Linked DNA regions of Stegostoma tigrinum. The protein of the gene in region 1 purifies or fractionates together with the protein of each later gene. This does not show direct contact. Links are inferred from orthologs where the notes say so. Each region holds a gene or a part of one and is shown in the gene's direction. Other genes may lie near its edges.

Region 1 (7,023 bases):
AACACAGAAGTAGGCTATTCAGCTCACTGTGTCAGTGACAATTCTCTACAAAAGCAGTTCCATTTTTCCAATTATCCTGCTGCTTCTTTTTTCATTCTCAAATATTTACGTATTTTTCAACTAACTATGAAAGAAATATTTGTATTACATTGAGAAAGTCGCTGCAGTAGAAGCACGAAGTTTGAATATTTTTTTTTTCTTGACCTTGTCTCCCAACGGCTATTCTGTTTAACCTCAGTTACTGCTGCTGGTGCCAGTGGAAATTTTTAAAAGATAGGCTGCTTGAGTGTGCTATTCTGGCTGTTTTGGAATCCTTTCCATTGTGAGTATTTACCAAGGCTTAGTTGTATTCTTGGTTGACAAGGGAGTCTTCCCAGTGTGATGACTGTGCAGCATGACCAGGCCACAGTTGGAGTAGTCTTACATCTTGCCGTGTTTCATATGCTCCCTCAGTGAGCCAAGAGAACCACCCAGAGGATAAGGGGAATTGAGCAGGCCAAATCTTAAGTAATGATCTTTTATACTACCTTTTACTACAGTAAAATCTCAAAACACTTCAGTAACTGAATCTAAGTTGACAACAAGGACATAAAGTATTGAACTAGATGGCTCAAAACCTACTTTTAACAACTTTTTGTGGAAATTAAAAAAGTTTGGGGAGAGATTTCAGGAGTTGGGGTCCACACTGTTGGTAGGTGATAAGTTTAGACAATGTGTAGGAAGCCATAGCTGAAGGAGTGTAGGGTTCGATAATATGGCAAACTACAATTCTGAAACAATGTAAAATAAAATATTTTGCTTTTGAATGCAATAACTTGCTGTGTTGAAAACTACATGTAAGCTGTAAGTGTAGTTGATATTTACTAGTGATGACCATGACACTTTGTTTTTCTTCAAGTAATGGCATGCAAGTGTAAATATTTGCTTCAGTTAATTACATTATCTGAAAAATGGCACTTCTGACAGTATACTGCTCTGTTTATATTGCACCTTTGATCATTATTCAATGAATAGCTCATTATTTTATTCTCTCCTATTCAGTTTTTCTTGTTCTTTCACATAATGCAGCATTTTGCTGGCTTGACCAGATTTTTTTTGCCATCCCAAATTGCACTTGGAAAGGTGGTGGTGAGTTGCTACATCTATGTGGTGTGGCTACCCAGAGTGTTTTTCAGGACCCTTTTGGTACCAACTAATTTCTCGGAGCCAATAAATCAAACAGTACTGACTTAAAGATGTTCCAGTCTGTGTGTTAAATTGATCTGAGTGGCTCTGTGTGGGCTATCTGTTGGGTTTTTTTGTTTTTTGTTTTTTTTTGGCAAAATTTGCCTCAGACTGAGTGGCAGCCAGACAGGTTAGAGAAACAACCTAACCTGTATCCTAAGAGATCTTTAATGAGCAAAGGAAACTGAAGTTGATCTTGCATGATCCTAACCTGCCTTACCCATTCTGTGCAGTAAGCATTACCTTAACATGCTGTATCCTCAGTAAGGATCAAAACACCATCTTAGTATGCCCCATTCTTGGTACAGACCAAACTGTCACCTGCCTTCAGGATGTAAGAAATACGGGTAGAGTAGGCCGTTAGTCCCCTCAAGCCTGCTGTGTCTCTCAGGAAGATTATTGGTTGTCTAATATAGACATATCTTCACTCTGCTGCCCCTCTCCCATAATTTTTGATCCCTTGTCAACCAACGATCTAACTAAGCCTTGAAAAATACTCGTTGGGGAGAGGATTCCAAATGTTAACAGCATTGAAATAAATTATATTATCTTACTTCTGCGTTAAATAGGTGAGCCCTTGTTTTGAAACGACACACTTAGGAAACATTATTTCAGCTTCTACCTTGCAATGTTCCTGTAGTGTTAGAAGTTTCAAAAAGATGTGTCTCATTCTTCAAAACTATAATGCATTCAAACCAACTTACACAGTCTCTCCTCATGACAAGTTCCTTTAGACCAGAAATTAGCCAAGTGAATCTTCTCTGAACTGCCTCCAAAGCGATAGTGTCCCTGCTTAAATAAAATGACCAAAACTGAGCATAACGGAGTGGTAACAACCTAATGGCATTAGCCCTAGACTATTAACCCAGAGAGACAGATGATGTTTTGAGGAACTGGGTTAGAATCTTGCCATGGTAGATCGTGCAAATTGAAATTAATAAAAATCCAGAATTGAGAGTCAATTGATGACTATGTCACTGTTTTGGCAAAACCGATTTGGGCTAATATGCTTTAGGAAAGGAAACTGCCATCCTTACTTAGTATGGCCCATGTGACTCCAGGCTCACAGCAATGTGATTGATTTTTTAACTGTCTCTTGGGGATGGGCAATAAATGTTGCCCTAACCAGCAATACCCACATCCCATTTTTTAACGTACTTACATTGATATCATACCTTTGATAAGATGACAAAGGACAGTTAAGAATGGAACAATTAAAATCAAGCCATTCCTCAGCCTACCTTAGATGAATACAGGTCTGTTGGAGAGTTACGGGATTGGCAGAGATTATAAAGATGGGCTGAACAATGCAATTGAGGATCTGTAAATAAAGATAAGATTTCTTTTAATTTAATGCTTTACTGGACCAGAAAATAGTTTAGGTCAGCAAAGACAAGGTATTAGCTAAACAGACTTGTTGCAATTAAGGACACAAACAGCAGAGATTTTGGTGAATTTAAGTTGTTGCAAGGGTAGAATGTGGGAGGCCAACCAAAAGTATGCAGGAATTGTTGAATCTAGAGGTAATGAAGGCGTGAATAAGGGTTTCAGAGGTCAAAAATTCCAAGGCTCAGACATGAGCGGGAAGAGGAATTGGGGGCAGGGAGCAAATAAAACAGATTGAGGAAAGATTGTGAAAATGTTTGAAAGTCCCATGTGGGCAAATCCAAACCCAGGCTACTCTGCCACTTAGACAAACTGTATCTCGGTTTTGAAATTATAAATTAATTTAGTATTGATTGCTAGATGTAGAAGAGAGTTTTGCTACTACCTTTAATGTGAGAAGTATTTCCTAATGTAATTTCTGAAAGTCTGCCTCCAAGTTTTCTTTCTATGCCACCAGTCCTAGAGTCTCAAACTTGCTAATCAGTTTTTCCTATTAATGTGTTTAAAACTAATACAATCAACTTTTAATTTCTACGTTTGAGTTTTTGTGTCCCCAATATTTAATAGGAGGAAATTTCTACCTGTACTTTACTGGATGTCAGTTATGGAATTTGACAAATTGGAAATACAGGAATCAACAAAGTGCTAGCAACTTAGAGCTGGACATCGTCAGCATTAGTAAGTAACCCTGTTTTCTGAAGATGCTGCTAAAAGAGAACATGTAGGCAAGAAGGGGGTGTAAATAGATTTTTGAGGGTCATCAGAGCTAATCGTGTGGAAGTGGAAGGATGCATGTAACTCACAATAGTTAGGAAAAGAACCAGGTGAATCCCAGAATGTCCGCTTGAGAGAGTAGACAGGGTTTCTATTTAAAATCGCATCTGTAAAACAGCATCTCTGTCAATGTCAGTCTGGATTATAGCTCCAGAGCCTCTAAGGTGGAGTGCACAAGCACCCGATTTAAGGCATTTAATCTAATTTTATTTTGTTTAAGGCTCTCAGGCAAGGATGTTCCCAACTGAGCAGTAACTTTGGAAGTCCTACACCCAATCAATGCCTTCAGAAGCCTGGGGCAGACTGAGATGCTTGGGTAGCTTTGAGAACGTGGAGGGATTGGGGTGGGGGTCGCAGCTCGAATCCCAGCCCTTTCCTTCCGTTGCTCAGAAACGAACCGACAGGTTGGGGGTGTCGGCTGTGATTGGTGGAAGGTGCTGTCATTCAGCGTAGTCACCAAGCAGCCGGCACGGTGCATTTAAACCGTTCTTTCCCGGCATTCAGCCGGGCCCTCGGGTTCTATTTAAATACAATTGGCCAATCAGGAGCGGCGCACGGCTTGCTAACTGTCGACGCTCCAGATTTGAATCAGAGCCCCCGAGCATCTGGCCTGGGACGGACACGGTTTGCAGCGACTTTTTAACCAGACTCGGAGAAGACCCTGCTCAACTTCGATTTGGCACTCCATTCTCCCCATTCCCCCTGTCTGCACTGTGAACCGGTCAAATAATGACCACGGTGGCCGGTAAACCGTCCGCCAAGCCGGGGTCTGCGGCCCCGTCGGTCGTCGCTCCGGTGGCCAAGGAGATCCCCGACATCCTGGTGAACCCCAAGACCATGAAGAGGTACGTGCGGGGCCGTTTCTTGGGCAAAGGGGGGTTCGCCAAGTGTTACGAGATCTCCGACATGGACACCAACGAGGTGTTCGCCGGGAAGATCGTGCCCAAGACGCTGCTGATGAAGCCGCACCAGAGGGAGAAGATGTCCATGGAGATCTCCATACACAAGAGCCTCAATCACGCCAACGTGGTGGGCTTCCACGGCTTCTTCGAGGACGATGACTTCGTCTACGTTGTCCTGGAGCTATGCAGGCGGAGGGTGAGTGCCTCGGGTTGAGGAGTGGGGGGGAGAATTGACGGGAGCTGCTGGCACCGGTTTATACTGACCGCCGCGTCCCCCACCCCCTCTCTTCCCCCCGGGATCGACGGTTGTAAGCGGAGGAAGGGAAGAGCTGCGGGACAAAGGATCCCGGTGAATGGAGCCGAGTCGGAGCGTTCTCCCATTGGAACCAACTGTAACAATTTGGGGCTGGGGGAGGGTCTCACCCATAAGTGGCACCGATCAGGTGGGGGAACTGGACACTGTCAGACCGGGTACAGCAGCTCAGGGCCCTGGGCCTGGGCAGCGCTCAGCCTGTCCGTTCTCTTCCCCCCCCCCCCCCCCATCCAGGTTGAAGGGCTGCCCGCTGCTGTCTTTTTTAGTTGAAATGGGGTTTGTATTTAAAATTGCGGCAGCTCGGAGCCGGTTGGCTGGCGGGTGCCTCGTATTAAAGAAGGCGGAGCTTCGGCCTTGCGAGCCAGAAGGAGCAGCCCCTGGTTGGTCTGATCCTGTTTCGTGCTATTCCCATCTCCACTCCTCACTCTGTTTAATTCCTCAAATGGTTCGGTAAAGCCACAGTTGCTACCCTAAGTCTAGCTGGTGATTCTCCTCTCCTCTGTCAGCTGGCACTGCCTTGTGTTACTGATCGGCTGCGGCCAAAAGTTCAATACTGTTTTTTTCTTTAATTTTGTTTATAAAGTGAACTGGTTTTCTTTTAATACCGATCACAAGTTAATTGTCACATTCAGTCTTTACTAGAATTGCACAAGAGGCGGAAGGCTGTCACTGAGCCCGAGGCCCGGTATTACCTGAAGCAAGTCATCCTGGGCAGCCAATATCTGCACGATAACAACGTTATTCATCGAGATCTCAAGCTTGGCAATCTTTTCCTCAATGATGATATGGAAGTGAAAATAGGTAAAGCATGATAAGAGATAATGGGAACTGCAGATGCTGGAGAATCCAAGATAACAAAGTGTGGAGCTGGATGAACACAGCAGGCCAAGCAGCATCTCAGGAGCGCAAAAGCTGACGTTTCGTGCCTAGAACCTTGAAGGGTCTAGGCACGAAACGTCAGCTTTTGTGCTCCTGAGATGCTGCTTGGCCTGCTGTGTTCATTGTTAAATAGGTAAAGCATTGCAGTCGGTTGTCGATAGTCTTTAGCCAGTTCATGAAGCCAACAGTCACTTAGTCATAGAGCTGTACAGCACGGAAGCAGACCGTTCGGTCCAACCCAGCCATGCCAACCAGATATCGTAAATAGGTCTAGTCCCATTTGGCAATATCTCTCTAAACCCTTCCTATTCATACACCCAACCAGATGCCTTTGAAATGCTGTAATTATGACGGCCTCCACTACTACTGCTGGCAGCTCATTCCATACACACATCACCTTCTGTGTGGAAAAAAAGTTGCCCCATAGGTCCCTTTTTAAATCTTTCCCCTCTCACCATAAACCTATGCCTTCCAATCTAGGACTCCTATACCTTGCGGGGGGGAAGACCTTGGCGATTCACTATATCTGTGCCCCTCATGATTTTATAAATCTCCTATAAGGTCATTCCTCAGGTTCCAATGTCCAGGTTGGGGGATGAAAACTCCAGTCCATTCAGCCTCTTCCTCTAGCTCAAACCCTCTGAACCCAACAACATTCTTGTAAATCTTTTCTGAACGATCCCTTTCCTCTATCACGGAGACCAGTATTCCAACAGTGGCCTCACCAATATCCTGTACAGCCGCAACATGACCTTCCCAACTCCGATATTCATTGCACTGACTGATAAGGCAAGTGTACCAAACTCTACCTTCGCTACCTGGTTTACCTGCAACTCCACCTTCTATGCTATGAGCCTTCAACCCAAGGCCTCTCTGTTTGGCAATACTCTCAAAAGGGCTTTACCATTAGGTGTACAACTGACCTGCCCTGATTTGCCTTACCAGCACCAGCACCTCACATTTATTTATCCAAATTAAACCTCTACTGCAACTCCTCAGCTGATCTGATGGAGACACTTAGTTTTGCAACAGAAGTGCATCGTATGAAACTAGAATCCCTACAGTGAGGAAATGGGCCATTTGACCCAACAGGTCCACACTGACCCTTCAGAAAGTATCCCACCCAAAGCCATTTGCCTACCCTATCCCTGTAACCCTGCATTTCCCCCGTGCATGTTAGGTAGTTTGACCATCTTTGGACTGTGGGCGGAAACCAGAGCACGCAGAGGAAACTTGCACAGACACTGGGCGAATGTGCAAACTCCACACAGACTGAAAGTGGCATTGAACCCAGGCCCCTGGTGCTGTGAGGAAGCAGAGCTGACCACTGAGCTACTATGCTGCCCTGTGCGTCTTCATTTTAACAGAAGATGAATAGAGAAGTTGAGCAGTTAAACGCTAGCTTAATTTTTCTAGATTATTGTATCCCATTCCTGACTATAAAACTCAAGAGCTGGCCCAAACCTCCCTGGATTTGTTGGTGGTTTTGCATGTACATGGTTCTAGAATAGGCAATCCCAATCTAGCAAAAGGGTCATCTGGGCT
Region 2 (7,460 bases), on another chromosome or scaffold:
GTCTGCTTGAAAATTGGCTGAAATGATTTCTTATTGCAAAGCTGATTTTACTGCAGTGTACTATATGCCGCTATCTCCACAGCATCATGAAGCAAATCTTCTGACCGGTGGTTACGGAGCTGTCTTGTTCATTCAACCTGAAATTTGTCGTTATTAGATTGCCAGGATGAATATGGCTTAAAGGTTTGTTAGAGCAACACATTCTGTTTTTTTTTTAAACTGCTAAATTCCAGTTCTTTGAGGTTTGGAAACTCTCAAAATATTTTGTGTGTTTCATAGCTGAGATAATCAGTTATGGGGATTTCCTAGTCATCGAAGTCACACCTATCATAGACTTCATTCTCAGAAACTAATAAATTTGTGAAGGATGTAGATATATTTATCAAATTACTTATTGAGGCAGTGCATTTTTGGCTGAAGTTGAAATTTGGAAATTGTAAACTCAGCTTGTCTGGGATTGGGATTCCTTATTTATTTTTGCAAGATAAAATGTAATCTATTATGGAGGTAATTTGGTTTTGAAACTCTGACTCATTCAAAATACATGTATGGGTAACATTTAACAGAAAGTGAATCATGCAGCTGGGAAGTTTAACTGTTTTCCTAATGTACAATTTGACAAAATGTTGTCAATGGCTAAAATTGCAATAGCCTTGTATGTGTCTCATGTTGTACAGAATTTACAATTTTTTTTTGGTATTTATTCTCGGAATGTGGGCGCCACTGGTTAGGCCAGCACATATTGCTAATCTCTAATTGCCTTGAGGATATGGAGCTGAACTACCTTCTTGAACCACTGCACCCTATGCAGTGTCAGTGCACCCCACAGTGCTGTAATGGAGGGAGCATTGAAGACTTGATTTATAAGCTCTTCCAGATTGCTTTAGTATAACAGACTTACACTGAAGTTTACCATTGGCTGCATGTATTTTAGAAATTTGTGCAGATACATCAATATAGTAGAAGCTTAGAAACTTGGCATTTGTACTATATAGTTTCAAAGTTATAATCTAATTGATTGGAAACAAATCAGTACTTAAAGCGTCTAATAGTTCTACCAAATTGAAATCCCTTTTTGGTGTAATGAAAATGGGCTTGGTATTATCATCTTTTCAAGCAGTGTAAGTCATTGTGGATGTAAAATCTATGGATTTGGAATAGGAAGCTGATGTCTGGTACTTTTGTCACTTTGTGAAATTAATCAAAATGAATAATTGTCCGTATTTCCACTTCTGTTCTTAGCCACCTGCCCCCTTAACTAAGCCAGTCGTGATGGTCTTCTCACTGTGTGATTGCTAATTTTTTTTGTCTATGTGAAGTTTTGCATCTGAGAACTTGTTGAAGTACAGCCCAGGATAAGTGCTTGCAATCTTTGCAAGCGTTCTGTGTAATGAATTCAAGCAGTCTTAAGTCTTTTGAGTCTGCTCTGCCATTTGGCAAGAACATAGCTGAGCTGATTATCATCTCAATACTACTTTTCTTTCTGCAGCCAGTAACCCTTGACACCCTTACCAATCCAAAGTACTGCAAACGTTTTATTAACCAGCGCCTATGGGACCAAGAGTGTGCCGGTTGACCAAATATTTTTGATTACAAGGACCTCTTGATTATCTATGTAAAAATACAAACTAAGTACTGGAAACATAATGCAGGGGGTATACACATCACTGTTATATTTTATTTACAGCGTAAATCACTTAAATAATTCAATTTTGCCTTAAATAAAACTTATTAGCAAGGCACCTTCTCACTCTCACCCTCACCTGACTACTCGGACATCATATTATTTAAGGAGAGATTGATTTGAATTTGAATCAACTGTTGATATTTTGTGCGGCCATTCGATTGAGCAGTAGGTATGTTTACATAGTCATATAGCATGGAGACAGACTGTGTGGTCTAATTTGACTGCGCCAACCGAGCATCCTTAACAGATGTAGTCCTATTTGCCAGATCATCCCTATTCATGTACCCCCAGATGTCTTTTAAATGTCGTGATTGTACTACCTCCAGCACATCCTCTGGCAGCTCGTTCCATACACGCGATCCATACACCACCCACCAGCCCTTTCTAATTTTTTTCCCTCTCTTCTTAAACCTATGCCCTCTAGTTTTGGACCCCCCCCCCCCCACAAAGACCTTGACTTTTCACCCTGTTGATGCCCCTCATGATTTTATAAACCCCTAGAATGTCTCCACTCAGCCTCTGACATTGCAGGGAAAAAGGCCCCAGCCTGTTCAGCCTCGCTCTATAGCCCAAACCCTCCAGTCCCAGCATCATCCTTGTAAATCTTTTCTGCACCCTTTCAAGTTTAACAACATCTTACCTGTAGCAGGGAGCCCAGAACTGAATTTGGCATTCAAAAGGTGGCCTCACCAATATCCTGTACAGCCACAACACGACATCCCAACTACTACACTTAATAAATTCCTAAACAATATGAAGGATTATTTGAATCTAATGGATTTTAAAAAGTGAACCCAAAACTAATTCAATATATAACTCAGTCGATTTCCGTCAAGGAAAAGAGCAAGCCTGATGTATTTGAGGTGGAAGCAAAGCAAGAGATTATGTCGTAAAAGGGAGTGTACTGAATTGCAGATTAACAGAAGTGGAACCTTGGAGTCCAAGGTGTCAGGACAGGAAGATAAGTTGTTTAAGCAACAGTAAGGGAAACTTACTTTAATAGCTGAGGCACAAATGTAATGTCAAGGAAGTTAATCTGAAACTATATGTAATTCCTCTCATCTGCGGTACCAAATGCAGTTTTGGTAACTGTGTTGCAAGAGAAATGTGATTGTACTGCAGAGGGTACTGAAGAAATTTACAAAGTTGTTGCATAGATTGGTGAATTTTGTTTGAGGAAAGATCAGATCAACTGTGGTTGTTTTGAACGTAAGAGCTTAGGAGAAAATATAATTTATACCATCTATGCGATAAATGTTTTGTTTCTGTCCCTTCAGCTAAAATTCTAATGGTACGTAGCCCAAAATCTTGCTTGCTTTATGGATGTTTGGCCTTTGAATTTTCATATATTTACATGTTTATGTCAGGGTCCTTAAGGTTGAAAATCTCTCTAAGGATATTTGGAGTTTTATTGGGAAGTATGCAAATAATGTTTTCTAATTTCAATTACCATTTTGTGAAGCCAGTGTTGTTACACCAGTGGCTACTACCGTGATCTTAACTAATGATAAAAATTTCGAGCACCCATCTTGGGAGATATCCAAAGCTGGTAAAGATGCAGTTGTGTTGAACGATTTCTTGACAGCACCAATAGGTGACACGATTCATGCTTTTTTTGTAAATTTTGAGACTAGAAAAGCATACCTACCTATAATTAAGATAGTATTGTAATTTTTTTAAATTAATGAGAGGCAGGACATTTCTGGCATTGTAGGGACATTCCAACTTGCCGACTGAATTGGATTAGCTCCAACGAATGGGGATTGGAATTAATCAGACTTGGATATTGAAGCTGAGATTTTTTTTAAAAATAAAATTGAAAATTAATTGAACCAAGTATAAAATCTAATGTGGCATTTAGCATAGCAACTGATATAGTTTGGTGAGATTAATGTTTGATTTATCATGTCTATATTTCCACTTGTTAAGAGGAAAGTTAGCTTTCAGGGTAAGATAAGCTGATAGAACTTTCTAATGCCATGATGGCCTACTCCCTTGACTACTAAAGCAAAAAGCATAGAAAATTTGGGGCAGGTACACCCATTTTTCTTATTTCATCTATAATGAGAAAGAAATATCATGTAAAACTTTGTCATCATCTATTCAATCATTCTGATACAAGAGATTTAATTTGAATTAAAATCTATCCCACAGTGTCTTATGTTTGCTGTACTGTAATATTTGCAGGTTGCATGCTTAAAAATTGGTTTTCCCAGGTATTTAGTAGCAAAACTGGGGTGAAGTTCAAGACCACATTTTTTTCTGTAAAGTGTTTACAGGTTTTTCACGGCCCTCTTTCCCCCCCAAAAGAATCATATTACTGAATCAATTGTCTGTTCATTACCCACTTTAAAAAATGTTGGGGACCTCTGTAAGTAGAATTTGTTAGACAGTTGCCCAAAGTACTACATGCCAAATATCTGTAGGAAATTAAATTTTATTTGCCAGTTTTCACCAGCAGCCATAGTTTTATGAGTACATTGAGAGTTTCTGACATTTGAGCAATGATTTAAGAAATGTTAACCGTTTTGAAGTTATCCATGTTTGTGCATTCTTAGACCTCTGGGAACTGTACGGAAGAAGTACTGTTAATTGCCTTTTTAAAAAAGTGAAACAGATAAAGGATTACTCATAATGTTGTACCCTCCCTGTCGTAGTGAGTCAGCAAAGCCAACAAACCATTTTCCCTTGCAGCTTTGAATGGAAACTGTTAACTTGCAGCTATTCTGCAATAAAGCTGCCTTAACGTCAGACAAGTAATTTATTCACATCTCTGGCATGCAGTTGAAATTGCAAGGGCAGCCAGAAAGCAGCACGCTAGAAGAAGCTACCAGAATTCTGCTGCTCTGTCTGCATTCAGCATATATAAAGCTGAAATGGTGGCTATGCTTTGGATATCTGCTGACTGCTTTTTAGGTTATGGATTGGATTCGGTGAAACAATAATTGATCCCTAAAGCAGGAAACTAGCAGTTCTGGATTGTCAACTTGAATTGGCAGACTGACAGAAGCTTGACTTCAAGCACATGGGAAAATACCACAGACGGCGGCTTTTTTATTACAGTCACAGTATTGAAGATTGAAGCTCCTGTACTTGCGTCAGTTATCTGAAGGAAATTCAGTGACTGCTGCCTTGGATTTCTGTATTCAAGATTTTTCAGGATAATTCCAGTTTCTTATTTGTTGAAGTGAACTGGCCTACATGTTTCCAGCTCATTGAATTGCCTGTCGGAGTTTCTGCAGTGACTAGCTGCTGGAGAAAAGTGACTGCTCGGCACAGCACAATCGCCAATGGAGTAATAGATGTATTTTGTTTCTGGGTCACACTTGTATAGCCCACCTTGTTGTATGGGCTATCCTGTTTATTTTCTGTTCATGGTTTCTTTCTGTCCTTTTCCTCTTTCTCTCTGTTGTGCTCTCACTCTCATCTGGCCTGTGTTTAATTACACTGCAGTGGAGTTAATTAAATGAATTTTCATTTGAAATTGTTTTGTACTTTCTCCTGGATACTGCTTCAGCCTGACGAAAATCTGTTGATTGGGAAAAGAAGTCTTGAAGCCTTCTGATATGGAAAATGCTCAGTTTCTCTCTCTGTAAATCATTTGAAAATCTAAACTACATGATTTGCCTGCTTTTCTATTTAAGGAATGGTGTCATGTCACCCATAACAACAGCTACGCTGCATAGAGGCTACTCTGTCAAATAAGGAACCAGCTCAGCAGTATCAGTGTGTGTGTTGGCAATAGCGCTGAGTTTACTCCGGAACTACTTATGTAAACCATATGGATAAAACTGGCATAAATCTCTAGCATAGTCACTTGTTCTCAGTGACAATAGGATTGTTATTTTCCATCAAAACGTGCAAGTGTTGTTTGTGAATCAAAGATTACGAAAGTAGTGTGGAAACAGGGGATCGGATGAGCCGAGTGTGTATTGTTGTACTGGAGGAGGTGGACGATGATTCTCCTGTTATTACTTCTAAAAAGCTTCAGGAAAAGTACGAGGATGCATCAAAGTCACTTCCACCTGAAGATGGAAGGGTGAGCATATCTCAGCTTGTCTAATCATACCTGCAAAAGTATTGCATCAGCTTCACACTGATAAGATGTGCAAATCCAGGTTTTATCTGCTTTCTTAATATAAATTTGTAATATGAAAAAAAAATATGCAGAGTCCAAACATTTGCATCTTAAAGTTTGGTTTTTGGCATTTGTTTGACATAAGCTGAGAAAGTTGCATGTATTGACATTTTGAATTGAATTGTGTATCAACAGTTTCTAGGAATATAGACCACACTTAGAGAAAATTCATACTGCTTATTCCATTTCCCACTGATATTTGAGTGTTTGGGACCCTACATACAGTTATGTGATATATGTGGTCCATATTTGTCAATTAGTGATGTCACAGTCATATAAATATTTTTATATTTGTATAATCTTAAGTTTCTTTCAATGTTGCAGCCGCCACTGGTTCAAGCTATTTTTAATGGAGATCCTGATGAAGTCCGCAGTCTCATTTTCAAAAAGGAGGATGTTAATGTCCAGGTACGTGTAATTTAATTGTTTGCCTGCGACCATCCCCTCAAACCACCGCCATCACCACCACGTCCACCAACTCCCCCACCCAACAGGTGTCCTTGTGCATCACTAAACTGTTCAAAGCCTGTCGGTTTTCAGTTGCTACAGAAGTGACTTGAAAAGCTAAAAGAGATCATCAGTACTCTTGTCTCAGTTCTACCTAGTGTTACTTGATGTATCTATTGATGAACAAAATTAATGAAATTTTCAGGATGAATACCTGTTATAATACGTCAGAAATTCTAATTCAGGACATATGGCTCTTATGACATTATGCATCCGTATCTGGAATTTCTTTTCCTTTTTAGTTTACATATTTCCATACATTCTAATGGTTTAGTAGGCTAGCTTGGTTTGCTAACCAGTGTAGCTGATTGTTCATGTTGATTAAACCATTTAGTGTATCAAAACCGGTTTCCTCAATCTTGCTTTCACTTCCCTTTTGTATATATAAGCAGATGAGGAATTTGGTTACTGAGTCTCATCAGGATGCTCTCAAGGACTTCCTGTGGCTTGCTAAAGGAATACCTGTGCCTCCTATTGAAAAATATGCCAAATATCCTCGATGAAATTACTTGTTTAAAAAGACTTTAAGTTGGATATTTGCTATTTGTTGCAGCGATACTTAGCAAAATTCCAAACCGGTCACCTGGAGACCAGTTTTTAAAAGCAGGAGTCAAATGTTTAAGTTCCATCCTTGATCTTTGATAAATTTGAACGTTTGCATATTTTTTCTCTTGTTCCCAATTTTTACATAGAAGTGGTTGGGAGGAGATTTAAATATGATTCTAGAAACACCAACAGTAGTTATGGCAGTTACCATTTTTGTGACCTCTATTAAGCTGCAAAAAGTGTTTTATAATGTTTGGGAGTACTCTGTTTGTATGTCTTCAACTTCATATATACAGACCAATGGACGTTCAGAACAGAACAGATTTTTATACATCCATCTGCTGGTATCTATTATAAAATATAATATTTCCTATTTAAATTTTCTGTGCTTTACATACAACAAGTTTTGTGGTGTCTAATGTTTTGAACATAGACTTTTTGATTCTTACTAAATTGAAACAGACTTAGATCCAAATTCTCTACAGCAGACATTTATTTATTCTCTGAGGAAGAATACGAGTCATGCCAGATATCGTTTTGACCCCTCGTTGATAAGTCAGTTTTACTTGAGCCCATGAAAAT

The links. The genes of interacting proteins can lie anywhere in the genome.
Region 2: the proteins of plk1 (region 1) and ankrd28b purify together in Homo sapiens (affinity purification with mass spectrometry; 6 studies listed by BioGRID and IntAct, with this or other methods). This does not show direct contact. The link is inferred for Stegostoma tigrinum from reciprocal best matches to the Homo sapiens genes PLK1 and ANKRD28.

The regions. Positions count from the first base shown.
Region 1 is NC_081376.1:22,425,840-22,432,862, forward strand, and holds the start of plk1 (serine/threonine-protein kinase PLK1), read left to right. Parts: upstream 1-3,943; 5' UTR 3,944-4,113; coding exon 4,114-4,482; intron 4,483-5,231; coding exon 5,232-5,400; intron 5,401-7,023. UniProt on the Homo sapiens protein: Serine/threonine-protein kinase that performs several important functions throughout M phase of the cell cycle, including the regulation of centrosome maturation and spindle assembly, the removal of cohesins from chromosome arms, the inactivation of anaphase-promoting complex/cyclosome (APC/C) inhibitors, and the regulation of mitotic exit and cytokinesis.
Region 2 is NC_081355.1:102,767,199-102,774,658, reverse strand, and holds the start of ankrd28b (serine/threonine-protein phosphatase 6 regulatory ankyrin repeat subunit A), read left to right. Parts: upstream 1-4,387; 5' UTR 4,388-5,603; coding exon 5,604-5,726; intron 5,727-6,149; coding exon 6,150-6,233; intron 6,234-7,460. UniProt on the Homo sapiens protein: Regulatory subunit of protein phosphatase 6 (PP6) that may be involved in the recognition of phosphoprotein substrates. Involved in the PP6-mediated dephosphorylation of NFKBIE opposing its degradation in response to TNF-alpha.